6 linked regions of the Nothobranchius furzeri genome follow. The main gene of each other region encodes a partner of the protein of the gene in region 3 in a complex. Links are inferred from orthologs where the notes say so. Each region holds a gene or a part of one and is shown on either strand. Other genes may lie near its edges.

Region 1 (4,266 bases), about 15 Mb from region 3:
TTTGTAAAAAATAGTTTAACTCGTAGTTCGCGATTGTTGTTAGCGTCACAATGCACTCTGGGTGGTGACGTCATACGGTTGTACCTCGGTTGCACCGGCCGGCTTTGGGACCCTGTAGTGACTGTTAAGCGACATCGACATGTCGTCTGTTCAGCCTTTTCTATTTGAACCAGAGCGAAACATTAATGATGACATCACTGATTATGTTTCACAAAACGAGCATCAAAATGAAGAGCAAGAAGGGCGGGATGAAGCGAGAGCAGGACAAAAGCAGTGGTGTGTGTGCTGCAAATGCGTCTCCATGGGAACCGAAAGGGAGAGTGTTTGTTGTTAAGAGCTCATATTTTTGTCCGCAGAAGTTAACGGTAAGCTGTCGCGTGGTCAAACTTATTCAATTATGAATTGTTTAGGAGAATTTTAGCATCCAGAGCTGTCGTGTGCTTCATAGATGATTAGGATATTCAGTAAAACAACTTTAATCATTTTTTCAGATATTGTATATTTGGAGAACACTGTGTTGCTACACTTACTGCTTGTCTTACTGAAGGGAGAGGTGAATGTTCAGCTTCATCTGTGACGAGTGGCGTGTCCGATGGTTCGCCCAACGTGACAGAAGCGACAGCTGCAGGAGCGGGTTGTCGGCTCAGGAGAGCGTCCAGCGTCTCGTCTCTCTGAGAGACAGTGAAACTCCGCCCATGCCCACTCTGACAAAATGTGCCTACTGGACCAGCTTTATACCCTTACGCCCAGATCACACTGTATGATTTTCGGCTGTCTTTGCCAAATTCCTAGTCCTGAGCAGAATCGTGACAAAAAAAAATACAGTGTGGCCGGCTCTGCGACAACTTTTTGAGCCGTCTCACGACCAAATCAGCTTAAAAAAGTCTTCAAGCATGCTTGAAAACCTGGGACTCCTGTCTGCAACCGACCAATGAAAACACACCTTTTGGGACGCCGCAGCAGCAAGACTCCGCCTCTCTGAGCTTCAGTTTCAATACCCACCAGTTTTTATTTCTGTTAATAGAACAAGTTAAACCAGAGTTATACTAAAATAATTAAACTACCTTTTTTAGACCATCAGATAAATTGTGGACAGAGGAAGCTCTGTGACAGCGGGTGTGAGCTGTCACATGGAGCGGATCTGCGGAGCATTGAAACAGAATTCACGGCAAAAGTTATATAGCAGCGATCTGTGACAGATTGTTACTTCTCTGTAGTTTAGTGGGTTCTTGTGTATAAAGGAGGAGAAGGATGAATGACCAGCTGACAGCTCCGCTGTTTAGCTGGAAGACGAGAAAAGGAGACCTGCAGCCGGAGTCTGACGCCAAAACAAAGGTTTTAAAAACGTAGCTTCCTGTTTGAGAAAGATGAGCTGGGTCATGAACTGACACTAAAACTAAGTGTTTTTATCTTTTCAGCTTTGGGTAGTGACCGAAAGAATGAGATTGGAGATAAAAGCGCCCTAAATGAGTTTTCTCTGCAGGGTGGCTGGGCTCTTCCTTAGAGATAGGGTGAGGAGCTTGATCATCTGGGAGGGGCTCGGAGCAGACCTGCTGCTCCTGCACATCAAGAGGAACCAGTTGAGGAGGATCTAGTTAAGATGCCTCCTGGACACCTCCCTGGTGAGGTTTTCCGGGCATGTCCAACCGGGAGAAGACCTAAAGCAAGACCCAGGAAATGCTGGAGGGACAATGTCATTCACCTGGCCAGGTAACTCCCTAGGATTCCCCTGGAGAAGCTGGCCTTAGTGGCTGGGGAGAGGGAAGTCTGGGCCTACTGCTGCACCCACAACCCGACCCCGGATAAGCAGCCGAAAATGGATGGATGGATGAATGGATAATATACCCCCTTTAACATACATGAGGTTCACTGATATCTGTACTGCAGTAAATATCAATATGTACATATGGATACTTGTATTTTTTTGGAATGCATCATCCACAACTTCTGAATTTCAGATTTTTCCTCCACGGACCGTTTTTTAACAGCACGGTCTACCTTACCTTCCATGCACAGCTGCACAAAGTTCCTGCATGCTTTAGGAGTCTCCTTGGACCACAGCTCGATGTCAATTTCCCCTGCTGAGGTCTTCATCAGCACCTGAAAAGCAGCACAGCAAAACATATCTACATATAAAACTACTTCTCCCTAGCCTAGTGAACTAGACCAAAATCTTTCTTTGCAAAGTTTTTTTTTTTTTGCACAGAAGTTTGCAAAGCAAATAATATATTTATTTTGTCTCGCTTGCCAGGCTAACTTCTCCTACCATCCCGCTACTTCTATGGCACACGCGTTCACCTCCTACTAGCAACATATCAACAACTAGCTGGTAACATATCAACAACTAGCTGGTTTCAACGAAATGTGTATAAACTTTACAAGGAAAAGCTACACTGCATGTTCTTAATGTAAATACAGACAAAATAAAAAGATAGGAAGGCACTCACCTTTCCACTTGTTGGAGGTTCCTGGATATATATGTTACTCATTTTGAAGGTGAATCTGCTTATGTGCTTCGAAAAAAAAACGAAATTCTAATCTTTAACACCTTTATACCTTCAACTCACGTAAAATGTATAATAGATAAACGGTTAGTAATCCTGATAACTGCTTGTACTTTTCCCGAATGTTGCAAATTTCACACTTATCCTCCAACAGCCATGCTAGTGCAGTGTTTACTTCAGAGAACACGGGGGAATCCTGATGTACTACTCTTTTTTATTTAGTATACTCTGCTGTTTATGATAATTATTTAAGATGTTTATATGTTTTCATTTTGAAAATATTTTTTCACGTTCATAACAACCAGCTAAACCGCTAACGACAACATAACATCAAAAACAATCGCAGGCTCAGCCCCTAAAAGTGAAAATGGTTGAATCCACACGATGTTCAGCGTTAATAGGCCCATAGAAACAAAGCATAATAACAAGTTCCGCATTAAGCTTCTATTACACTTAAAATACGAAAATATAATCCAGTTTTATAATTTAGGGTGCATTCTAAAATATTACTTAAAAATTTACAATCTCTAATAAATTTCGCTAAGTTTCTGACGGAGCAAAATTAAATTCAGAGCGCAGCGGAAGTGCCGTAATTACGAAAGGACCACACGACGCTGTGCAGCAATGGCGGAGGTTGAAAACAGTTTGGAGTTAAAACGAAAAGCTGATGATGTTCAAGATGAAGATGGAAATGATGAAAGTACAGACTGGGTTGGACCCATGCCAAATGAAGCATCAAAGACAAAGAAACGAAGAGGTGGGTTAATGACACTGAATTTACCACAATGGTTTGCGCGAATCCACTTTTCAGTAAATCCCGCTAATTCTGGTTCGGTTATTTCTTCAGTCCTAGAATACGAGCGAGTCTACCTGGATAACCTCCCATCAGCTGCCATGTACGAACGGAGCTACATGCATAGAGACGTTATCACACACTTGGTGTGTTCGAAGTAAGTGGAGAAAAATACCGCGGTAAAGTTAGCTTGAACTTGGACGTTGGATATTTGACAGACATTGGTTTACACTGTTAGCGATAAGTCTTTATGCCGTGCACTGAGCACAGCGATGTGCTGATTTCCGAGGACTCGCTATAAGTCCCTTAATTTTGAAATAAAATCCTAATAAAAAAGATCAGATTGAGTGAAATGTGTTAAAACTGTTGTGTCTTGTAAATGTAGTTTAGTAACACATGTCAGAAGTAATTTTGAGTCATTTAGGAAATTATTCTGGAAGTTTAAAAACAATTTTGTACTCGTTTACAAAGGACTACAAATTTGTTGATAGTCCCTAAGCGACCCACCATTCCCTATCGCGAGTCCTCGGAAGTCAGCTAACCGCTGTCTGTACCCAGTGCATGACATGAAGACTAATCGCTGACCGTGTAAACCAGGGGTGTCAAACTCATTTTAGCTCAGGGGCCACATTGAGGGAAATCTAGTCCCAAGTGGGCCGAACCGGTAAATTAAAAAAAACTTCAGATGGTTTTCTTTGTTTTAATACAATCAATATAAAACAAGGCTGTAGCCTGAGGACAGTGTATCCAAAATAGTACAAGTAAAATACCTGAAGTGTACTTGAAAATTTGAAAGAAGAAAAAAAATCCATAAATAAATAAACATTCCTTAGTGATTCAACGAGCTTACAGATCACATGGCTAGATCAGTTTCATGCAGCTTTTAAAGTATATTTGACTCATTTTACTTAACATCTTTTAGCTTTCACCAGCACATCAACATCAGAAGTCACATCCTGAGTGGTAGCC
Region 2 (4,025 bases), on a different chromosome or scaffold from region 3:
ATCCCGATGGCCGTCTGCACCCCCTGCATCTGCAGCTCAGCCTGTCTCACCTGCTCCTGGCTGCAGCAGTCCTGCAGGAAGACCGAGGCCAGGTTGCGCAGACGGGGGCTCTCTGCGAGTGAGAAGCGCAGCATGCACTGAACGATCCCTGGCTCTGTGATCTGAGAGCAGGTCGCTGGTGTGGTGAGGTTCATCAGGGTGGTGACGGCAGACAGCACCGTCTCCTCCCTCCGGTTTGACAGGTGGTTTGTGATCAAGCTGATCCCATCGTTCTCCAAGATGATGTCTCTGCATCCAGGGTCCATACTGAGGTTACACAGACCCCCTGTCAACACAATATTTGAGTTTAGATGATTTTTACATAAACAAACATGATTTACTGTTTTAGTTGGAGAGATGCTCACCCATCCCAAACTCCACAAAGTTCTCATTCTCTTCGGTCAACATGTCCAGGAACAGGTCAGGAACCTGCAGCTCCCTCAGGTACTCCATGTTCTTTGGGTCATATGCAAAGTTGGCTAGATTTGCCAGAACCTGCTCCTTTGCCTCTGATAAAGAGAAAAAGTAATGAAACAAACAGAGATACCTACATCCACTAATTCACCTTACACCAGCTCATTACAAACAATGATAAACAGAGGCTGCAGCACAGAAACAGTACACATTTATACCACAGGGGGCGCTTTTTACTTTCACATCAAAACACCCTTCAGGCTCAAATGTGGAGCTGACAGTATAAAAATAAGATTTGTCTGTAAACTAGAAAGGCGAGGCAGCTTTATTTGTGTAGCACATTTCATACACTGAAGCTATTCAATGTACTTTCCAGGTGCATGACCAGCATGATCATAAAAGATTAAAATCAACGTGACGACGTAAAACAGCAGCTTTTAAATTCAAATTTTAAATACTCTAATAAAATTAAATGTAAGAAATAAAATAAAAGACAAAGTTAAAGACTGAGCGCAGAAGGTACAGCATGAGAAATAATCCTTCAAAGGCTGATGAATGCATGAAAGTCTTCCATTTTGACTTAAAAGTTACTAGAGTTGGGGCACATTTCAGGTCATAAAGAAGCTGATTCCATCTGTGAGCAGCATAGTAGCTAAAAGCAGCTTCACCCTGTTTGGTTCTGACCCGAGGTTCTACCAGCTGACTGTTTCCTAAGGATCTCAGAGCCCTGCTGGGTGTATATATACAGGAAGGAGATCCAACATGTATTTTGGCCTCATTTATAAACTAGCAGTAGCACTTAGTAATCGTTTCTATAGTTTAATGGCAGCCAGTGTAGATATTTACAACTGGATGGATGGATGTGGAACTAGCGCATTATTTAATTCATCACATTATCTGGCTACTTATTTTTAACACCGTTTTTTTAAAAATAAAAACAAGCAGCTTTCTGCGGTAAAATCCAACAGAAAATGTTTACTTATGGCAGTAATCTCAAAGTGAACTAACATGTAGAATGAACAATCAGAATTTGGTTAAATAACGTCACTTTTTGGTTTCCAAATACTAAGCTTACATTTATTTCATGTCACAACGATACACTTTCAGAATAAAACTTAAAACGCTGCTTAGAATTACAGCTTATTTGATGTATTTGTTCACTTCTACCTGATTTAGTCATGTTTACAGATTCTTTTTCGAAAAATTTTAACTTCATGAAGTCATTTGCATGTATTTGTGATCTTTTTGTCTTCTGAACACAATTCTAATGCTGATAGTCAGCCTTTCTCCTATTGCAATGGATAAAAACTGGTCTAACATATATACAAATGTTCTTTTGACGATTTTTTTTCTCTCACTTCAAATAAATATACTGATGGAGAGTACAGTTTTCGACTGAACAACGGCTTCTGAAAAAGCCCTCTAACGATATAAATAATAGTGATGTGTCAGTCCGAACGAACCGGCTCTAAGAGTCGGCTCTTTGAAGTGAACAACGGGAGCCGGCTCATCATTGGGAGCCGTCCCCTCCCCTCCCCCCTCCCCTCTTGCTTTGGTGAACGCTACAGGCGATTGGTCAACATGTGTAACTGTGTGACCAGACTGTCCACACACAGAGCAGTAGGGACGGGGAAGAGGGAGAATCAGACTCAGACACACAGCAGAGCACATGCAGGTGGAGGTAGACGAGAGGGAATGAGGAGGAAAAAGGTGAGCGAGATAGAGAGGAGAGTGTGATGAAGACGGTGAGAAAATGAGCGCCAGCAGTCGGAAAGTGACAATTTCTTAAAGTGTTCAGTTATTAAATCCATAGAAATTATAAATATTTGATATATTGCATTTTTTTTTACATTAGTAAATAATTTTACATATAGTTTTGCATTATTTTGGTTATAAATGTACTCTACGAAACAGAAAATCTGAGGAGCCATTTGGGAGCCGAAAGAGCCGGCTCTTTCTGGTGAGCTGAGCCATTCCCATCACTAATAAATAATAGCATGCATCTAAACTGAGGGTGTTGAGAGTCTACGTGTTCGTTTTAAAACGGTTTTTATTTTAACTTTGTAGAACACAGATCAAAGGTTATTCCTACCTTCACTGTCAGTGTCCTGAAATTCAGTAACCAGCGTCTGTAAATATTCAAACCGTTCAGGCGCTTCAGCTGACTCATTTCTCTTCATCTTTTAGCAAAAACACATTTAACACTTCAAATAAAATTCACACAGATATCAGATTATGCTGATGTTTAAGTTACTTGACCGTTCATAGCTGATTCAGAGGTTGTTTTCATTTCACGTATGGGTCCGCGGCTCATAAGTGTTCGGAAAAACTGCGCAAGTAGATATTTGTTCCGCTGTTTTATCAAAACTTGTTTGTCCGTGAAGATGTGTTCCCCGTTCACTTTCGCATGATTTAAAGAGTAACGCATTTTTAGCTACACGAAATCGTAACATCGTTGCTATAAACTCGCCTATAACGTTATAAATGCTAGCATTGCTGTCACAATTGTGCAATGAAATACGCGAGAGCTACGCGAGCCGATGAGGAAACACATTTTAAATGGTGTACAGAGATTGATACAACACCGGCAGCTGAGCGGAAGTTAAGGAGCAGAAGGTGTGTTTGTGTTTATGTGCTCGTACAACAGCACATAACGCACGTTGCGGGAGGTCAGCTTAACAAAAACGCTATGTCGCTTTGTTTATTTAAGTAAAACAGCAACAATGAATCACCACCGGCTGTCCGCGAGAAAGCGCCTCGCCAAACCCATTTTGTTCGGAACTCTGCTGGTTGGACTCGCCACTATTTTCATTAACAGGTGAAACTGAGCTTTGCTAACTGCGTAAAAGAAACACACGCACAACACATTTCACTGTAACACCGGTGTGACGGTGAAACTGTCATTGGAGACTGAAGCAAAAATATTAAATACTATGAGTTAGCAGCAAATCGTAAACATATTTGCTTGTCGTTTATGCAGACACAGGTTCCTTGAAGACGTGGTTGAGCTCAAGGCCCAGGAGCGAGAACGCAACTATGCCAGGATGATGGAAGTCCTGGAGAGGAGGGAGAAACAGAAAGAGCTGGTGGAGAAGAAGAAGCAGCAACAGACAGGAAGTGACTGAACATATGAACTTTTTGCAGACGACTGATGCTTTACAGGCCATCAGACATTACAGTCATCCAGTAAATCAGTAAATTATAAGACTGGATGGAAGTTCAGCTGAGCAGGAACCACGCTTTTAAATTTTGACACTCGTGTTGGTCAAGCGGGAGCAGAATTAACCACCATCTACATAAATAGCCTTATTTTTAACTCGAATCATCTTTAATTTGTCTTGTTTTTTTTATCTTTGTGATTACTGTCTGTGATGGGTGTTATATAAATAAAATGTACTTACTATCTGGGAAAAACAGACTAAACCCCTAAGCCAAACAGAAACAGTGGGAGAAAAATATTACTGGATAAACGATTTTTTTTTTTATCAGGGTTGAATTAAAACCAAAGTATCAGGACTTGTATTTTGTCATTAAGGTGTATCAAGTCTGAGATATAAATTTTAACTTCATAA
Region 3 (4,272 bases):
ACTAGGATAAATATGCAGTAAAATGCTTTTCCGTGGGTAAATGTACAAATTTTACTTGCTAAAAGGTTACAATACACAATATAAATGAAAGAGGTGGGACTCAAAATTGAATAATACTACAAAAAAAGGGCTTCAATGGGGCAAAGCACAGCAAAGGTTCAGTCAAGAAGAGCAACACTGAGCTGAAATCTGTTTATTTCATACAAAATAAAAACAGTGATAAATTGTAGAGCAAAAGACTGCAAAGTAAACCAAAGCATAGTAAATCCAAAAGATGACATCAAACAATGAAATTTAAAACAAAATAAGTTATCGTCTCTTCTGGAAAATGTTGCCTCTCCCCATTCCACCACGACCTCGTCCTCTTGCAGCCACTGTTAAAAGTAAAAATAAAAAGTCAAACTCCAAAAAAAGGTATCTCTTTGGTCTGGAAGAAATGCCCCCCCACAAATCCCTATTTTCCCTACTCAAATATTTTGACTATGTTGGACTTCTACAAGAGAAGAAATTAGACAATACCATTAAACATTCCTTTGAAAAAGCCTTTTTTTCCCTTTATATTAGATAAAAAAGAATTGGGATCTGTCTTTCAAACCATTCCACCTCAGAAAATGTGAGAAGTGTCCACATAGAACACTGTTGTTACCTGTAAAAAAAAGTAATTAACAACTATTTAAGAGCCAAGCAGCTAAAGAGGGAACTAAACTCTAGCGCTGTCTCAGCATCTGGAGAAATTGTCCAAATGCTTCTCACTCACCTTGTGCTTTAAGAATAGCTGCCTTTCCTCTTCCTGCCCCAGAGCCTTGGTTCTTGTTCTTCATACTCTTTAACATCGGAGCATTCTTTAACATGTCCGGTAGGATCAAAAAGCGGATCTTGCTGCCGCGAATGTAGACCTGTTCCAACTGTGCAACCCGGCCATCGCGGTAGGTCACGGTGATGTTGGACATCTGTAGGGACAAATTCAAGTTTAGGTCCACAACAGGTGAAATGACCGTGTGAGCATCCATTAATCCAGTTCTGTTACTTATCTGGATCTTGGTGCACACAGGTTACCAAACTAGCATGGCTCAAATGTAAATTAACATTTCAGTTTATTCAACCCTTATAAAAATGTGTGCTGAAATAGAATCCAATTGAAGAGTGATGTTACTTTAGACTGTTTATTAAATTATGATGCAACAACAGAGTTAAATAACTGACTGAACTGGGTAAATCATGAAAGCTAAAGACCAACTTAAAATGAAAACCCAACATAAAAGCCTTTCTGATAAGAATGCTTTAATGAAACACTTTTACAAAAAAATAAAACTCTTCACACCAAGCATCCATGTACACCATTGTTTGGCCAAACGTTTTGCAATTTAGGGGAACACTAATCCCAAACACAAATTAGTTTACCAGTAATTACACAAACAAAAGCTTTTATGACTACATACCCCACAAAAAATCCACATTAACAGAACACCTTAAATGCCAAATTTACTGACCCAAGTTATTGTGAGTGCACAAAATAAAAATTAAATATTTTTTTTAATTTAACCCATTAAAAAGCTGCAAGAAAGGCAATTTGCAAGAGAAATAAAAACAAAATTTATTCAGGCAGCAGATGGGATTGAAACAAGCACTGACTGGATGTTTATGATCAACAGTATTTTGAAGGCTTTTCATTGACACTTTTCTTGACAATTAAAAATCACTGGAACCCTTTTAAACCATACTGCTAAACAAACCAACCTGGCAGTTCATATTGTCCTCTGCTTCTATCAGCTTGCCCCTGTACACCTCTCCAGTGTTGGTCTCACAGGTCACAATGTGACCCTCTGCCTCATGCAGGACCTTGATTGGTACACCGATGGACATGTTTCAAAGCTTTTCCTGGAACACAACACACAAAGCAAAAGATTATACGTGCTCACCCACAGAAATGTCTGCTCTTAAATATTGGCAACCCAAATCCATTTAACTTTATTGGTTAGCCGGGTTGCCCAGTTTCCAGCACTGAAATCTACAATCTGCATTACAACTAGTAGGAGAAGCAACAGAATAAGGCGAGTGAACTTTTTCATGACTGTGGATTAATACTAGTCACTGAAATTAAGACAAATAAGGAAAGACGCCCTGGGAAAACAGGTTTTGTGCAAAAAGCCATAACAAAAGAAGTGTTGTGAACCCGAACGCTACATTAATTGAAACTTTCATGTGGGACATAGTATTTAGACTTAACTAAAATGAAGGTGTTTTTATTATTTAGCATGAATTTACGCAGTAATACACTTTATAACATTACTAGAGAATAAACGATTTCGCTTGGGTATTCTCTTTTTTTAAGAGTCTGGTGGAGAATGTTTGATAGCATTCTAACCGCTAGCTCAGTTAGCCATACTAGCTAGCAAGGCTACAGGACAAATTTATCTAGAAACTACCATTAAACAATTCCAAACAGTAAATATGATTGGCCGTAAATGCTATTTACAGTTTACTACGATTAATAAGCATAGTTAAATACCTAAATATTTTACAGTAACATACGGAGTTTTGAAAATGCGCGTAACCTTAGCCATGCTACACATGAACGAAATAAATCGAAATTTCTAAATAACGAAAACCAATAGAAGAATGAGAACTCCGTTTCCTCAAACTAATTAATGTTACTCCTGTAACTTACCTTGACTTGTTCGTAAGAGTTATTTGCTTTATTGTTATTTCTTCTTGAACTGCAACGTGCGTTTGACGCTTTCGGGATCCTTTTGAGCCTTTTTTTCCGCCTGCAACGAAGGGTCACAACGAGTGTTTCCGGTGGCACCTACCGCGATGCATTGTGGGACACGTAGTTCAATAACGCCCATGGTTGAGGACTATTGAGTATGTACAGTCTATGGGACTATTATTTAGTGAAACTGACAAACTCAGCTTCTTATGTAGAATTATTTTTTTTATAAAGACTGAAACACATAAAATTAAATAAAATAAAAACTAAAATTATAAGAAACTATTTACATTTTAATCACGTTTCCTTAATTTATAATCTGTTTTTTACTTGTATTTGTTTTTAATTTTTTATGCTTGAGAAGCACCTCGCGATTTTTATCTTGGGGGCGCTATATAAAAGATTGTTTCATTCTTTCTTCTATAAATGTTGAGTTATGATGGAAATGAAAATTGATTTTCATTCTCCACAAGTAGAACATTGCATTTCTAAGAGGACTGAATATGTGTTTACGTACATCTGACTAAAGTTTAATGAATAAACTTGATTTCCATGATTTTGAAGGAAATCAGCTGTTGACTACATTTTCTGCATCGTCTAATGACGATGGGCAATTTATGCAGCTACACCAGACACTGAACTGTATTGTTTTAAAAAGCAAATGTTGATCCAGTAGCAGGATTGATTTGCATTTTCTTTCAGAAAAATAGAACAGTTTTGCATTACTTGTCATCTTGGCTCCAAGTTGACATTTACAGCTTTACATGGCTTTTCATAAAGCAGCTCAGTGTTAGGTACTTTTTAAATTCCCATGGAACATTGATCCATCATTGAATCACCCACAACAGTATTTTTATGATCTGTATCTCATGCAAATCAAAACAGCATTAGACATAAAAACAAAACATTAAAATGAACTAATTTTATCTATTTTTACAACACTGAGTATGGCCACAGTGTACTGCACAAATGATATGCAAAGAACTAGAATAAACATAAAGTACACATAATATACATACCCGTGTATGTTTGTTCCAGGAGATGTGTCTCGGGGATTGCTACGGGACACATAAAAGTGGCCTAATGCAGGTCTGTCCCACATTGAAAGAGCTTTTTAATGGGGAAAGAGAAGGCATAATGGGATAATAAAAGACATCATCAAATGAATCTTCATTTGATTTCCATTGCATTTGGCTCATTGACTGGCGTCAGCAGCCATGGCTGATCTGTAAACACCTTTCAGTGAGTAGTTTGTGGTTGGGCACTTTACGTGTGTGTGTGTGTGTGTGTGTGTGTGTGTGTGTGTGTGTGTGTGTGTGTGTGTGTGTGTGTGTGTGTGTGTGTGTGTGTGTGTGTGTGTGTGTGTGTGTGTGTGTGTGTGTGAGTGAGTGAGTGAGTGTGAGGAATCTTTTTATGATTTTGATGTGTGCAGGCCAGACCCTGAAAGTAGTGGTAGCATCACAGGTAGTAACAAAGTGGAAATAAGTCCTTTGGTTCAGCTGAAACGTAGCTGGTTTGTGTTCATTGGTGACTTCAGATCATAGGTTGACCTGGCAATGACA
Region 4 (4,150 bases), on a different chromosome or scaffold from region 3:
TTTATTGTGTGGATGTGCATGTTGTGTTTACTTGTCCAAGGCAATTCAATTTCCCCCTTGGGGATTAATAAAGACAACCTTGAACCTTGAACATCGGGGCTCTCCTGATAAATTCCTGCTTGACAAAGCGCTCCCCTCCTCTCCCGGCTCCACGAACGATTCTCAAGTGGATTCAATCGCCTCTAATCCAAGCGAGCATCGGCAGTCAATGCTAACGATTGTCCATAGGCAGCCCCGATTAATCGATGCTAGACAAATGAGAACAGGACAGATCCTCATTCTTCTTCCAGATGGAGAAATAATTACTCATTCATGACTAAAGATATCAGAACTAAAATAGAGACCATGAGCTGTTTGAACAAAGCCGTAGAGTTGGCGCTATTTAATGTTTCTTTGGCAACGATCTTGTTTTTCCACATATTTTATTAAAGTTTCATTGTTTATGTGTTGTTTTCTTGTTCTGCTCCAGAGTCTGGATGTTTAGAGACCGGAGGACTTCATTATAAACAGCTTAACAAATCAGACTTTATTAAAATGATCTCAGACTGACAAAAACATGAAGTAGAAAACAAATCCAACATGTTATTTATAAAAAATACAAACAGAAACAGAACAATCGAGGTTCTGCAGCTTCACCACTCATCACGCCTCCCAGAACACGACAGCAACAGAACTGAGCTGTACTGTGATGGGTTGCCATGGAGACAGCAGGGTTCAAAGGTCAGTGTACAACAGAGTTGAGCGGCTCAGCTCTGATGTTCCCTAAATCCAGCGTGGAGTCGGTCTCCTCATCAATCTCCCCGATCACGGCGCTGGAGCAGAAACACGAGAAACGGTTAGAAGCTGTCCGAGGAGCAGCCGAGCTCCCCGTGCACCGGGACGTCCTTAGGGGTCATCATTTCTCATTTAGTTTTAGTTTGACCGAGGTGACTCACACGTTGTCTCCTCTAACGATGTAGAGGCCCAGCACCACCTGCTCCACCCCCTGGTTGGAGCTGAACACGCGCTCGTGGCTCTCATCCAGGATCAGGTTGATGGTCTGATCAAAGCCCTTCAAAGTGCCCTGAACACCCAAATGATAAATAAATAAATATAAATAAATAAGTACAGCACCTTTCAGTCAGAGGATTCCAAAGCAACTTAATATTATTATTCATCAACACGCTGGTGGTGTTGAGCTACAATGAATCATACTTAAAACAACCAGGCTAATAAAATACTAATAGTTCAGATTACACTTGAACTTTTATTTCAAAATGATTTTCAGTTATCTGCAGTTTTATGCCCCAAAACAGTAAAAATCTGACCATAAAAGTAAAAACGTGTCTGTCAGCATCTGTAGTGATGGGAACAGGACTAGATTTCTGGATTTACAGTCGAGGGAAAAACTAAATCCCCTGTGACCGACACCGGTTTAAATGAGGCTTCGGTTCAGGTGGAGGGGAAATCCTTGTGCTGGAGCCTCAAACATCTAAACACCAGAACCGTATCATCTTCTCTGCTGTCCAGCTGAGCTGAAAACGTGAACTCACCACGATCATCCTCCCGTCTGAGGTGACGATGGCAACAGTTCCTGGATCAGCTGGAGTCAAGGAAACATCATCTGTGCACAACTCATCAGTAAATTACGTCTAGCTTCTCCGTTTTCACCCGAACAACAACGATGGGTGTGCTTCAGTTAAATAACCCGACATCTTAAATCAGAAACAAACTAAATATATTTTATTCACAACCCGTGAAACCGAACTAACGCAGATCAGAACCGTTAATATCTACGTTTTGACGCCATCTGATCATATAAAATTCTATCAGTGATTTTTTTTTATGCAAACACTGATTTGAAATTGAACTGCTACGTAAAAGTTATTCCAGGTATGTTCATTCAGTTCTAAATAAAAATGAGTAGTTTTTTTGTCGCTTTAGCTTTTACCGTCTCTAAACTCCACCTAAACAACAACAAATTACATAAACATCGAAGCTAGCGCGCTAAGCTAACTAGCACTTCTTAAGCATGCAGTTAGCATGCTAGCAGCAAGATACGGTTGATGTAGCTCTCCAGCGCGGTGGACATGCTTCGTCCCGGACTCGGTCTCTATCTGTCCAGCAGAAAAATCGGTAAATCCCTCCAACGGTTGTCTATTTGCGCCGCTGTGTAAAAAAATAAAACGGAAAGAGCATCAAACCGCACCGCACCAAAACACCGGAGACAAGTCAAGACTAATCATACGCCGAATCATCGCGCAGGAAGGGGCGCGGAGGGTCGAGCGGTGACGTTTTTTTTATTCAAATTCCTCCAAATGTTATCATCAAACATTGATCTGGAAAGTTGTTTAAACGTGTGAGTAGGTGATGTCAGAGCTACAACCCTAAAGACAAAATATTGGGTACAGAAATGAAACACACTATAGCCCTATCAGTGGCGCATTTAGCAATTTGGGGCCCAAGGCGAGCACAGACATGGGGCCCCCTTAAAATAAATTTCGGCAATCTTACTTTTAATTGGATTTACAAAACTCTCCCCTCTTCTGCCATGAGTTATTTTCCCTTTTTATTAGTCCTCCTCTTTATTCATGTCTTTCTCTCCCTTTGAGTGCCTCCAATATTTGCTCTGCTTTCTTCTTCCTGTCAGTGCTCCTGAGCTTTTGCCTTTTTTAAATTTATTTTTCATTTTGGTCTACGTTTTCCTCCCTTTAAACATTTTCTATTGTCTTTCCTTTTCTGCTTCCTGATGCTCGAGCATCCGACAGAGGTGGAAAGTAATGAATTACATTTACTCACGTTACTGTAATTGAGTAGCTTTTTTGTATATTTATACTTTTTAAGTCATTTTTAAAATCTGTACTTTTACTTGAGTAAGTTTTTTAAAAAGAATTGTAATTCGCTACATTTTAAATCATATCCGTTACTGAGTAAAAATAAATTATAGGCTTAATAAATTAAAAATATTACGTGAAGCAGCGTCAGAACGGAAAGAGACACCTGCATGAGGACCGCATCTAAACCGGGGGTGTGTGGGGGTGTACACTTTTGCTCAAAGACATCATCAGTTCAGTCGATCAACTCGCTGTTTATCACCTCTCTCCCTCCTCTCCTGTGGTTGGAACCTGCACCTTCGCGCACCAGTGTGACATCATCAGAATTCTGCTCGGTTCGGTAGCGAGACTCGGTTCCGTGTTTGAAATGTGTTTCCCTACCGCTCCGCACGGCAGCGGCAAAATACTGTTTAGTGCTCATAACAAGCGGATTATCAGCGCTTTGCTCATAAACAGAAGAGCTGCAGGCCTCTGTGAGTTAAAACATCATGATACTGTTCAGGTGTAAACATTGTGCTCCATCCCTGTGTTTGAACTCAGAAGTTGCTCCTTGATGCCACAGATATGTGATGATTTAGCTTGTTTCTTTATTTTACTCCAGAATTAGAGATTAAATTATTACTAAAGCAATTCAATGTAGTTAAATTAGTCATGGCGTGCGTGTGTGTGTGTGTGTGTGTGTGTTACACATATAGGACTGCATGAGACAGCGTGGTTTCATCAAATCCATGCATCTCATATCTTGGGTGAAGTAACGGCTCAGGAAAATAACATATATTTCATAAATAATGACGTCTCTGCAGTGTTTATGATAATGTTTTATCTTATCTTTGGTCTGGGAGGTGTAACTTATCATGATACAAGCCTTTTAAAACATGTTAAAGTGTTACAAGAGGAGATAAATGCATGAATTTAAAGTTCATGTTTGGAGGCTCACGCTGGTGAGGAGACACCGTTAGTTCTAGTAACACCTGGGCTCCCAAGGCCTGTTCTGACAGGATGGATGTTACGGGACCCTTAAGGATTCCAGTTGGATGATTGGAGGATTATTTAGGAGGATTGAAATGAACAAACTGATTTCAGTGGTGAAGGGTTAAATGAGTGAGTGAACCCACTGCCAAGGATGAACTCTGCTAGCTTTAAAAATCAGCTGCTCTAAATAAGCATGAAGGTCAGAGAGGATCTCTAGGATGGACATGGATAAAGGAACTGTAATGTAGAGGTAAAGTAGGGCAGGGCCAACGTTAGCAGCTGTCATACGGTCCATCTGACATGTTTGACTGCATTAGGCTTGCTATGTGACAGGTTAGAGCACAGTCTCATGTTAGAGTTTTGTC
Region 5 (4,030 bases), on a different chromosome or scaffold from region 3:
AGCTCACCATGATCTTTCTGGAGTTCTGAAGATTCTTTTGTCGGATTTCAAACTGAGCATGAAGCAGCCACATCTTAGCAAATGTGAACTGAAAGAGAAGAGAAAGCACGTCACAGCCTGGTGGTGGTGGGGGGTTACATCATGGTGAAGTTCTAAAGACCTTCTTGTGAGGGATCAGCTCCAGACAAGCCTGGTAAACCTGCCTCGTCCTCTCCGGGTCCTGCCGACACATGTCACCGTTACACCGGTCCGTCAGCGCCCTCTGCAGGAACGCTGCAGGACCACTGACCTTGGTCTCCAGCTCCTCGTACAGAGCGTAGTTGATCCACAGGTAGATGTAGCGCCTCCAGTGTCTCTTCTCCTGCAGGGGGGGCACATTGGCAATGGCTCGTTCGTAAACCTCTCTCACCGTGTCGGCGTCCGCATCGCTCTCCACCAGCCGCAGGTAATCAAACCAGGCGTCGTAGTTGTGTGGGTTAGCCTGAAGGACGAGAAGTTGCTGAGTTTGGGCCACACAGCAGAACACCTGCCTCTGCACACCTGAGCCCAGAACCAGACTTCATCTCTGACCTCCAGACAGGTGAAGTACCTTCACTTCCTCTTCGTACTGGAACCTCCGTTTGCTGACGATCACATCTTCGATTCCTCTCCGGTCTCCAAACTTCTTTTCAAACATGGTGTAGTTCTTGAAGAGCTCCTGGGCCTGATGTTTGGGGATTCTGTCCAGTGCGTACTTGTAGATGACTCGAACACGCTCAAACTGTCCAGAACAAGAACAGAAGTAAGAGAATCCACCCAAACAAACCCATAAACAAAGTTCTGATAGCACCCACCTCCTTCTGTGTCTCCTCAAACTTGGCAAAGGCCACAAACAGGTTCTCCTCCACGTGTTCCTCCCCGAAGAACTCCACAGCCCGCTCGTACACCTTCCTGCTGTGAGCCACATATCCGTGCTTCTCCTCGAAGCGAGCGTATTTGATCCAGTTCTTCACCTCCGGGTGAACAAGGACGAGTGAAGACGAGTTAAAGAACTTCCTGTCTGTTCAAAACCACGCGCAGCCCATCAACCACCAGAACCAGGGTTAGTTAAAAACCGGGTCAGAAGGAACAGAGATGTTCTCCAGTACTCTGTAGGATCAGGTTTAAGGCATTATGGGTCTGAATCTGTAGCTGAACCGGGTCACAGATCTTTGGTGTTTTAATTCGAGTCTGACTGGACCTGTTCCGGTTGTTTTTATGGAACGTGTGTTCTAACCCCACCATTCTAGGTTCTACTGGGCTCCAGTAGAAAGGATATAGTGCTCGTAGATGGTCCGGGCTTTGTCCACCTCCTTGTAGCGCAGCTCAAAGTTGATGTAGGAGTGCCAGGCCTGTTCTTCGGGTTCCCACTCCATCCAGCGTTCAAACACCTGCCTGCAGCCAGCCACGTTCCCCAGCATCTCCTCCATGTAGGTGTACTTGTACCTGAGCAGAACATCAAAAACGTTCCAGCACACACGTGAAGGCTCTGACAGAACCCCAAGCTATAGAGTCCTACCAGAACTGGTTGACCCGTGGAAGGATGGTGATAGCTCTGTCCCAGATGTTACGAGCATGATTCACCTGGCGGCTCTTCATCTCCATTTCGGCGTACTTCAGCCACAAAGTGACATTGCGGTGATCGACGTCCAGCGCTCTTTCATAAATGGACCGGGCCCTGAACCCAGATGAACAGTGTTTAAACAACTAACCAGGTTACCTTAAACCTCTAGTTCCAGCTGTGGTGATGACCTAAATACCTCTGGATCTCCTTCAGACTTTCCTCCCACTGAGCGTACTTAATCCAGTTACTGATGATGGTCCGGTTCTTCCTGATGTTGTCTTCAAAAGCCTGAAACACAGTTAGACCAGTACCCATCAGACGTGTTGTTTACCTGTTAGACTAACCCACCCATGGAGGCTACGCTCTCTAAATCACCTTCCTCTTCCTCAGCTTGTAGTCGTTCAGCTCCTCCTTATCGGTGATCTTCTGTTTGGGTGGCGGAGGCAGAAGCTCCAGCTCCCTCTCCTTGGCCTCTCTCAGCAGCTGCTCAGCTGTGATCTGGACCTCAGCAGGAGCTTTGTTCTTCACCTGGAAAGCAACACAATAAGCTTCAGGACCACTCCTCGGTACCACTCCTGTCCTAGAACCAGAACCAGGGTCCGGTGCGATTTTACACTCTTTAAAACCAGAATTGGCCAAAAAGTCTTTCTGCGTTTTACCAGAACATTTGATCGTTTTTGAATTTACAATTTTTTTTTTGTTTTGTTTTTCTGGTTATGATCGATGAGCCGGGCCGGACCAGAACCAGTGAGCTGAAACATTCTAGGGTTGTGCTGATAAATGGCACTTCAGGTCCAGCATGGCAGAACTACTGGACCTTAGCAGTGATGCTGAGATCCCAGGTGACCGGAACATCTGGGGGAACCAAAGCTCCCACACATCCAGGAGCAGCCTCTGAGCTCCCGGTGGAGGACAGGAGCTCGTGTCTCTGGACCCGGGCCATCAGAACAGAACTCACGGGTCACTACAGCTAAACAGTAATGCGTTAGCATTAGCTTAGCCGCTCTTAGCTCCGCGCTCCGGTCCGCTTACCTTCGCCACCTTCGGTATCCGCTGTTTCCCTGCCGCCGTGGAGGCCATGCTGCCGGTGTGTCGGACCAGACGTTCTCTGTAAAATAAAAGGTCCCAAAGAAACGACTGTTTCAAAGCTTAAGCCACATAAACGTTCCGTTTGCTGCTCCAGCCACCATGACAGTACCCACAATGCTCTGCGACTTCCGGTACGTTGGTATAGCAACGGAAGTTACACAAAGGGAGAGAGTAAAAAACTCAATTTTTTGTACCACGTGACTGAAACCCTCCTAGCTGCAGACGTAGCCCCGGCCAAACACCCCCCACCCCCCACCCACCCCGACAAAACACGCCCCCCTGTTGAGATACCCCCGAGCTCAATAACGGCGGCCCTCCCAGCGAACAACACAATTGAAAGAAAATAAATATAGAAATAGTAATAATGTAATTAAACAGACAGGACTCCAGGTTTAAATATGAATGTATGGATTTTTTTGGCCATCCCCAGTGAGATTATTTTTATTTCTTGTATACACACTTCATGGCCATCCCCAGTGAGATTATAAAACACAGATACCACCAACAAATAATCAGTTGCCGTACAATAGGCACAACATACCTATGCTTACTGACGTTAGCAGGTGAGTAATGTATGTGCAAGTGTTTATTTTAAATGCAATAAAATAAAATATCAGAAAAAGTAATTAGTGGTAATCGTTTTAATTAACCCCTTAAGCCCACTGACCCCCATTTTTGGGAGCACGCCTCCTACAGCAACATTTAACTTTCAACCATTTGTTATTACAGGCACTAACAGTAGGTCTAAGTTCATACGAGTGAGTAGTTAATATTTATGTTACTATCTGTGATTTTTTTATTGCTTCTTTACAGTGAAAAGCTGCTGCTGTGTAATTTTTAGGCATATTTACATGTGTATATATGCATTTCATATATTCTGTTAACAGGAATAATTGCTGGCCCTTTCACACAAAATGTATTGATTTAGAAATTACTAAAATATTTTGCATTAAGTATACAATTCACAAGACTAGTAAACTGATATTGACCATACACTAATCTGTAAAGAATATACTGTAAACACAAAAGCAGAAAAGTTTGGCTTTAGAAAAAAAAGTTCTGACAAATGAAACAACCAGCAACAGCTTTTATTGGCCTTACAAATACCTTCCAAAAAATAATAATAATAATAAATGTCCACACATTGCTACAACCTCTTGAAAAATTCAGATGAGTCCAGAGCTTTTCTGATTTTCTCCGAGTATATGAGCAGTTCCATGGCATAGGACATCAGCTGCCTCTCACTAGTGAGACAGAGATAAATAGCAATTAGTAAAAATGACATTTACACCTAGAGGCTGTCATAACCAATGTGAAAACAATACATATAGGAATTAGCACTGTTCTTGTGTTTGTAGA
Region 6 (4,185 bases), on a different chromosome or scaffold from region 3:
ACATAAATGTGGAGCAGAGGTTTTAACCAAAAGATGGAGATATAATTATGGTTTTGGGCTGAAGTATCAAATTTTAAGTAAGACGCACTAAACTGCTAACCTAGTGAACTAGACCAAATTCTTGCTTTGCAAAGTAAATAATACATTTATTTAGTCTGGCTTGCCAGGCTACTAAACTGCCACATTAATGATTACACGTGTGTACAGCCCCATTAGACACTCATCTGTGCAAGTTATCAGCACAAAAAAAAATAGTTAATTTAGGCGTTACTTGCTCTTTAATAACAATCACAGAGATTTTTTTTAATAATCTATATTTTAATTTACAGTAGAAAAATGAACTCTTACTATCAATACACCTGAACTGACAAAATCAAACAGGGAAGTTTTTGTATAAATGATGCAGAAACACATAGCATCAAGTATTTCCCCTCCACTACAAAAAAAAGCAAAAAATAAAAATACAATTATTATATTCTGTGTATTTATGTTCATTAAGTCAATAAGAAATGCTTTCCTAAACATAAGGTTGGTTTTCCAATGATGTACCCTGACATAACACATGAGATCAGCCATGCATTAATCCTGAGAAAGGAGGTCTACTTGGAGACAGGTGTGGCAGGTTTAAGCAAGAGTTCAATATTTACACAATATACATAACAATCCAACCACGTGGTGTGAATTCCCACGCACAAGATACATCGCTCCACTTTCTAACATTCTCATTGGTCTTATCCATCATAAATGAATTTAGGCACAAACACATTGGGAGTAATTTACTCAAGACCCTCGTCTTCTTCTTCTTCCTGCTTTGCATCAACTTCGCTCGTGTCGGAGAATTCGTGCAATAGGACGTATTCGCGGCTGCTAAAGCCAAACTTGAGAACGTCTTTTTCTTTGAGCTCGTAGTAGCGCTGAGACTCGATCCGCTGGTTGTTCAGGTAGGTACCGTTGCCAGAAGCGAGGTCGATGATATAAGGCCTTACCCTGCGGCCAGTGGTGCCGTCTTTTCGAGTGTACTCCACTAACCTGCAGAATAAACAGAATCCTTAGTTGTATATTTTCCCCACAAATCTAATTAATCACACAGTGAAAACATTTACATACAACATACCTGTATTGGAATACTGCATGTTGCTTGGAGCAGGATGGGTGGTCGATGGGGATATCAGCGATCTTTCTTTGCCGCCCCAACAAATAGGCACTCTGTCTGTGAATGTACATGACAGGAAGGGGTTCATCATTCTTGAAAGGGTACAATCGCCACCTGCGCTTTGGAATTCGAGCTTCCTGTGGCTCGTTGTACTTGATCACCACCCCACGGAACGTGTTGGTGTCCTCTGTGAGAGCCCCTGACAATTCAAAGTTGGGCTTCTCTTTATCAGCAGGCGGTGCCCCCGAGTCGCTGCCGTCTCCCTCAGCTTGTCCAAACTCCTGTTCTTGATTTTCTTCACGCCGCCGCCGATTTTCCCTACGCCGCTCATCGTGCTGCCGCCGCTCAGCTTGCTGAGTCACTTGGGAGTTTCGCTCACGATGCCTCTCTCCATCCCGGTCCCCGGACCTGTTATGTTCCCACCTGCTTCGTCTTTCATCTGGCTGCTCGTTCCTCCTCCTCCGCTCATCGCCGCTAGATCTATGCTCATCACGCTCCTAAAACAAAAACACAAAACCTTCATGACTACAAGTTGAGACAAGTCAGTTTCAGTTTAGAATTTTATAATCACCCTCTTTATTCTAGAGTCACTGCTACAATGAGGGCTGTGATTTCTCTTGTTTCTGGGAGATCTGCTGTTTCGTCTAACAGGAGAGGTCTCCCTTCTGCCTGGTGAGCGGTCTCTTGTCCTCACGGGTGACCTGTGTGAGGAGCACAAAAGAGAAAACACTCTTAAGCCACTCGTATCAGTTAGGCAGCATTTACAAACTAAAATAGTAATAAAGTCATCTTTCAGTGTTAGAGATTGTAAGAGATCAGGTGTGGGAATTAAACAAGATTAATCAATACTTTGACTTTGCATTAAATATCCAAAATGTGTGTAGAGGATCTAAGATGTTAGTTTTTGATACCAATTAATAAAGTTTTGATTAGCTAAAACGCATGTTTTAGCTAATTGCCATTGGATTTTAGAATATTACTACACATTATAAGAAATTTAAATAAATGTAGCTATATAAACTATATATTTAGATGCTTTTGATTGTTTCTTGATTTGTACTCATTCGAGTAAGACAGGAGCTTGGTTAATAATCTAACTGACGTACTATAGGCACTTGAAGCTGAACGTGATATAGTTGTAAATACACGTGTTAATAACAATCTACTTACTGTGATATAAAGAAATAACGTAAATTATCTGAACTTTTTTTTTCTAAAAAGCATTTCCTTTGAAGATGTGTCAACTTAAGTCACATTTAAATTCAGTTATTAGAAAATAAAGAACATCAGATCTGAATATTATCACCTTGGTGGTGCTCAAAGGGCGACAAACGCGTGTTTACCTGCTGGTTCTTCTCCTCTGTGGACTGGAGTTGTCTGTGGATCTCGACCTCGAGCGGCGTGATTTCTGCGGCCTACTCGGACTCAATTTCTCCTGTTTTACTTTCACTTCCGGCTCTCGCGTGGGAGAATCTCTTCTCTTGTGTCGCTTCTCTTTGGCCATTTTTGAACAAAATCCGTCAACTTTTTGTGGCTACGCAAGCATAGTTAGCCACAGAAGCAAACAAACGCAAAACCCACCAAACGGTTGCTAAAGTTGCGTTCCGTTTCCGTTTGGCGCGCTGACAATTTCTTCCGACGTGGTATATGTGCTTTCAACTAAACGTTCCGCTATGATGACTTCCGTTCCGTTTAAAGATAACACGGATTAAATCATGAAAACTACAGATATTTTTATGAAGCCGTAAATTCAACTCCAAGTGGATTTGAGCTATTTTTCTTTTTTAAATTGCGCTTAGATCTTTTTTTTTCTGTTTTCCGGCAAACGCCCGAACGTTACCATGACAACATAAACAGCTATTTCTGTACATAAAGGCGTCAGGATGATTGAATTAGACGATTCTCTCTTGAAATATGACGATCCCGTTTTGGTTAAGAGGACAGCCTCAAGCTCAACCAAAGTAAGTCGGACAAACCCTAAAGGTGTGGATTGAAGGGGTACCATTAACGGAAGTTGTTGGAAGAAACACAGAGCAAAGAGATCCAGACTTTTTGTGCCCTACATTTTATTTATTTATTTCTACTCTGTACGGAAAAGGGAATAGAGCCACTGACAAGGGAAAAAACAACAACTGCTGCCCATCTCACAAACCAGAGCGGAAAAAAGCACATCGGCTTAAATTATACAGATGGGAAATAACGCCAGTTAATTACTTAAGTGTTGTTTGTGTGCTTGTTGTTCAGTAGCTAATGCTATAATTAATATAATCTGGCTTTTTTCATAAACCCCACACACTGTGCGTGATGCGCTTTTGGCAAGGCCGGATTATAATATGGGCAAACTGGGCACAGGCCCAGGGGCCCACAGCCACAAGGGGGCCCACGCAAGCAGCAGTCTTTTTTTTTGTGTGTGTGCAGCAGTCTCACTCGCCCCCACTGTCCCACAGATTGACAACATTTTTGTTAGTACAGACAGAAGAGAAGACAGGAGTGCTGTGAGGAAGAGAGACAGAAAAAGAGGAGAAAAGAGAGAGGACAGAGGAAGAAAGACACATGAGTGAGGCACAACAGGAAAATCATCAGGCATGAGTGTTAAGGGCTCAACACACGGGAGGCGACATCACCTCTCCTCCATTCATTTTCAATGAGACATGCGCGACAAAGCGATAATCGGGGGTCTCTCTCCTACTAAGCGAAACGCGAAAAACGTGCGTGTGAAATTTTGCACTCGTGCACGTGTCGTGCACGGACGACCCAGCGACGCGATCCCAGAAAGTTGAAACATTTTCAACTTTTCATCGCTGTCGCTCAGACGAGGACCAATCAACGGAGGTTTCATTCACTGACCAATGAGCGGACAGGATGCTCTATACACCTCCGAGCAAACATGAAGGAGAAGTTGATTATTATTATGTTTTATAGTAAAATCACAAGTAAGATTTCACATAACTCTAGCAACAACTTGTGAAACATCATATCTACCGCTTTATTAACTCTGAACTGCTTAAATAACCTTAATTACCTCCAACCTG

The links. Proteins that work in one complex are often made in the same cells at the same time.
Region 1: snrpd3l (region 3) and cwc27 share a complex: the UniProt entries of both Homo sapiens proteins name them as parts of the minor spliceosome. The link is inferred for Nothobranchius furzeri from reciprocal best matches to the Homo sapiens genes SNRPD3 and CWC27.
Region 2: snrpd3l (region 3) and armc7 share a complex: the UniProt entries of both Homo sapiens proteins name them as parts of the minor spliceosome. The link is inferred for Nothobranchius furzeri from reciprocal best matches to the Homo sapiens genes SNRPD3 and ARMC7.
Region 4: snrpd3l (region 3) and lsm8 share a complex: the UniProt entries of both Homo sapiens proteins name them as parts of the U4/U6-U5 tri-snRNP complex. The link is inferred for Nothobranchius furzeri from reciprocal best matches to the Homo sapiens genes SNRPD3 and LSM8.
Region 5: snrpd3l (region 3) and crnkl1 share a complex: the UniProt entries of both Homo sapiens proteins name them as parts of the minor spliceosome. The link is inferred for Nothobranchius furzeri from reciprocal best matches to the Homo sapiens genes SNRPD3 and CRNKL1.
Region 6: snrpd3l (region 3) and snip1 share a complex: the UniProt entries of both Homo sapiens proteins name them as parts of the minor spliceosome. The link is inferred for Nothobranchius furzeri from reciprocal best matches to the Homo sapiens genes SNRPD3 and SNIP1.

Annotation. Positions count from the first base shown.
Region 1 is NC_091746.1:63,257,101-63,261,366, forward strand, and holds the start of cwc27 (spliceosome-associated protein CWC27 homolog), read right to left. Parts: upstream 2,801-4,266; 5' UTR 2,490-2,800; coding exon 2,448-2,489; intron 2,101-2,447; coding exon 2,004-2,100; intron 1-2,003. Other genes in the region: ppwd1 (peptidylprolyl isomerase domain and WD repeat-containing protein 1), read left to right, coding at 3,129-3,261, 3,352-3,454. UniProt on the Homo sapiens protein: As part of the spliceosome, plays a role in pre-mRNA splicing. Probable inactive PPIase with no peptidyl-prolyl cis-trans isomerase activity. As a component of the minor spliceosome, involved in the splicing of U12-type introns in pre-mRNAs.
Region 2 is NC_091756.1:50,515,213-50,519,237, reverse strand, and holds the start of armc7 (armadillo repeat-containing protein 7), read right to left. Parts: upstream 2,801-4,025; 5' UTR 2,768-2,800; coding exon 2,708-2,767; intron 2,634-2,707; coding exon 2,546-2,633; intron 549-2,545; coding exon 405-548; intron 326-404; coding exon 1-325. UniProt on the Homo sapiens protein: As a component of the minor spliceosome, involved in the splicing of U12-type introns in pre-mRNAs.
Region 3 is NC_091746.1:48,714,707-48,718,978, reverse strand, and holds snrpd3l (small nuclear ribonucleoprotein D3 polypeptide, like), read right to left. Parts: upstream 2,801-4,272; 5' UTR 2,669-2,800; intron 1,879-2,668; 5' UTR 1,864-1,878; coding exon 1,738-1,863; intron 951-1,737; coding exon 758-950; intron 375-757; coding exon 310-374; 3' UTR 179-309; downstream 1-178. UniProt on the Homo sapiens protein: Plays a role in pre-mRNA splicing as a core component of the spliceosomal U1, U2, U4 and U5 small nuclear ribonucleoproteins (snRNPs), the building blocks of the spliceosome.
Region 4 is NC_091741.1:34,219,555-34,223,704, forward strand, and holds lsm8 (LSM8 homolog, U6 small nuclear RNA associated), read right to left. Parts: upstream 2,697-4,150; 5' UTR 2,072-2,696; coding exon 2,041-2,071; intron 1,574-2,040; coding exon 1,533-1,573; intron 1,064-1,532; coding exon 936-1,063; intron 813-935; coding exon 722-812; 3' UTR 501-721; downstream 1-500. UniProt on the Homo sapiens protein: Plays a role in pre-mRNA splicing as component of the U4/U6-U5 tri-snRNP complex that is involved in spliceosome assembly, and as component of the precatalytic spliceosome (spliceosome B complex).
Region 5 is NC_091742.1:17,433,302-17,437,331, forward strand, and holds the start of crnkl1 (crooked neck-like protein 1), read right to left. Parts: upstream 2,801-4,030; 5' UTR 2,663-2,800; coding exon 2,615-2,662; intron 2,111-2,614; coding exon 1,958-2,110; intron 1,871-1,957; coding exon 1,779-1,870; intron 1,697-1,778; coding exon 1,538-1,696; intron 1,465-1,537; coding exon 1,298-1,464; intron 1,013-1,297; coding exon 834-1,012; intron 761-833; coding exon 590-760; intron 482-589; coding exon 290-481; intron 221-289; coding exon 161-220; intron 89-160; coding exon 8-88; intron 1-7. UniProt on the Homo sapiens protein: Involved in pre-mRNA splicing process. As a component of the minor spliceosome, involved in the splicing of U12-type introns in pre-mRNAs.
Region 6 is NC_091745.1:70,706,758-70,710,942, reverse strand, and holds snip1 (smad nuclear-interacting protein 1), read right to left. Parts: upstream 2,801-4,185; 5' UTR 2,658-2,800; coding exon 2,497-2,657; intron 1,855-2,496; coding exon 1,725-1,854; intron 1,651-1,724; coding exon 1,115-1,650; intron 1,030-1,114; coding exon 777-1,029; 3' UTR 298-776; downstream 1-297. Other genes in the region: dnali1 (axonemal dynein light intermediate polypeptide 1), read left to right, coding at 3,037-3,114. UniProt on the Homo sapiens protein: Required for pre-mRNA splicing as component of the spliceosome. As a component of the minor spliceosome, involved in the splicing of U12-type introns in pre-mRNAs. Down-regulates NF-kappa-B signaling by competing with RELA for CREBBP/EP300 binding.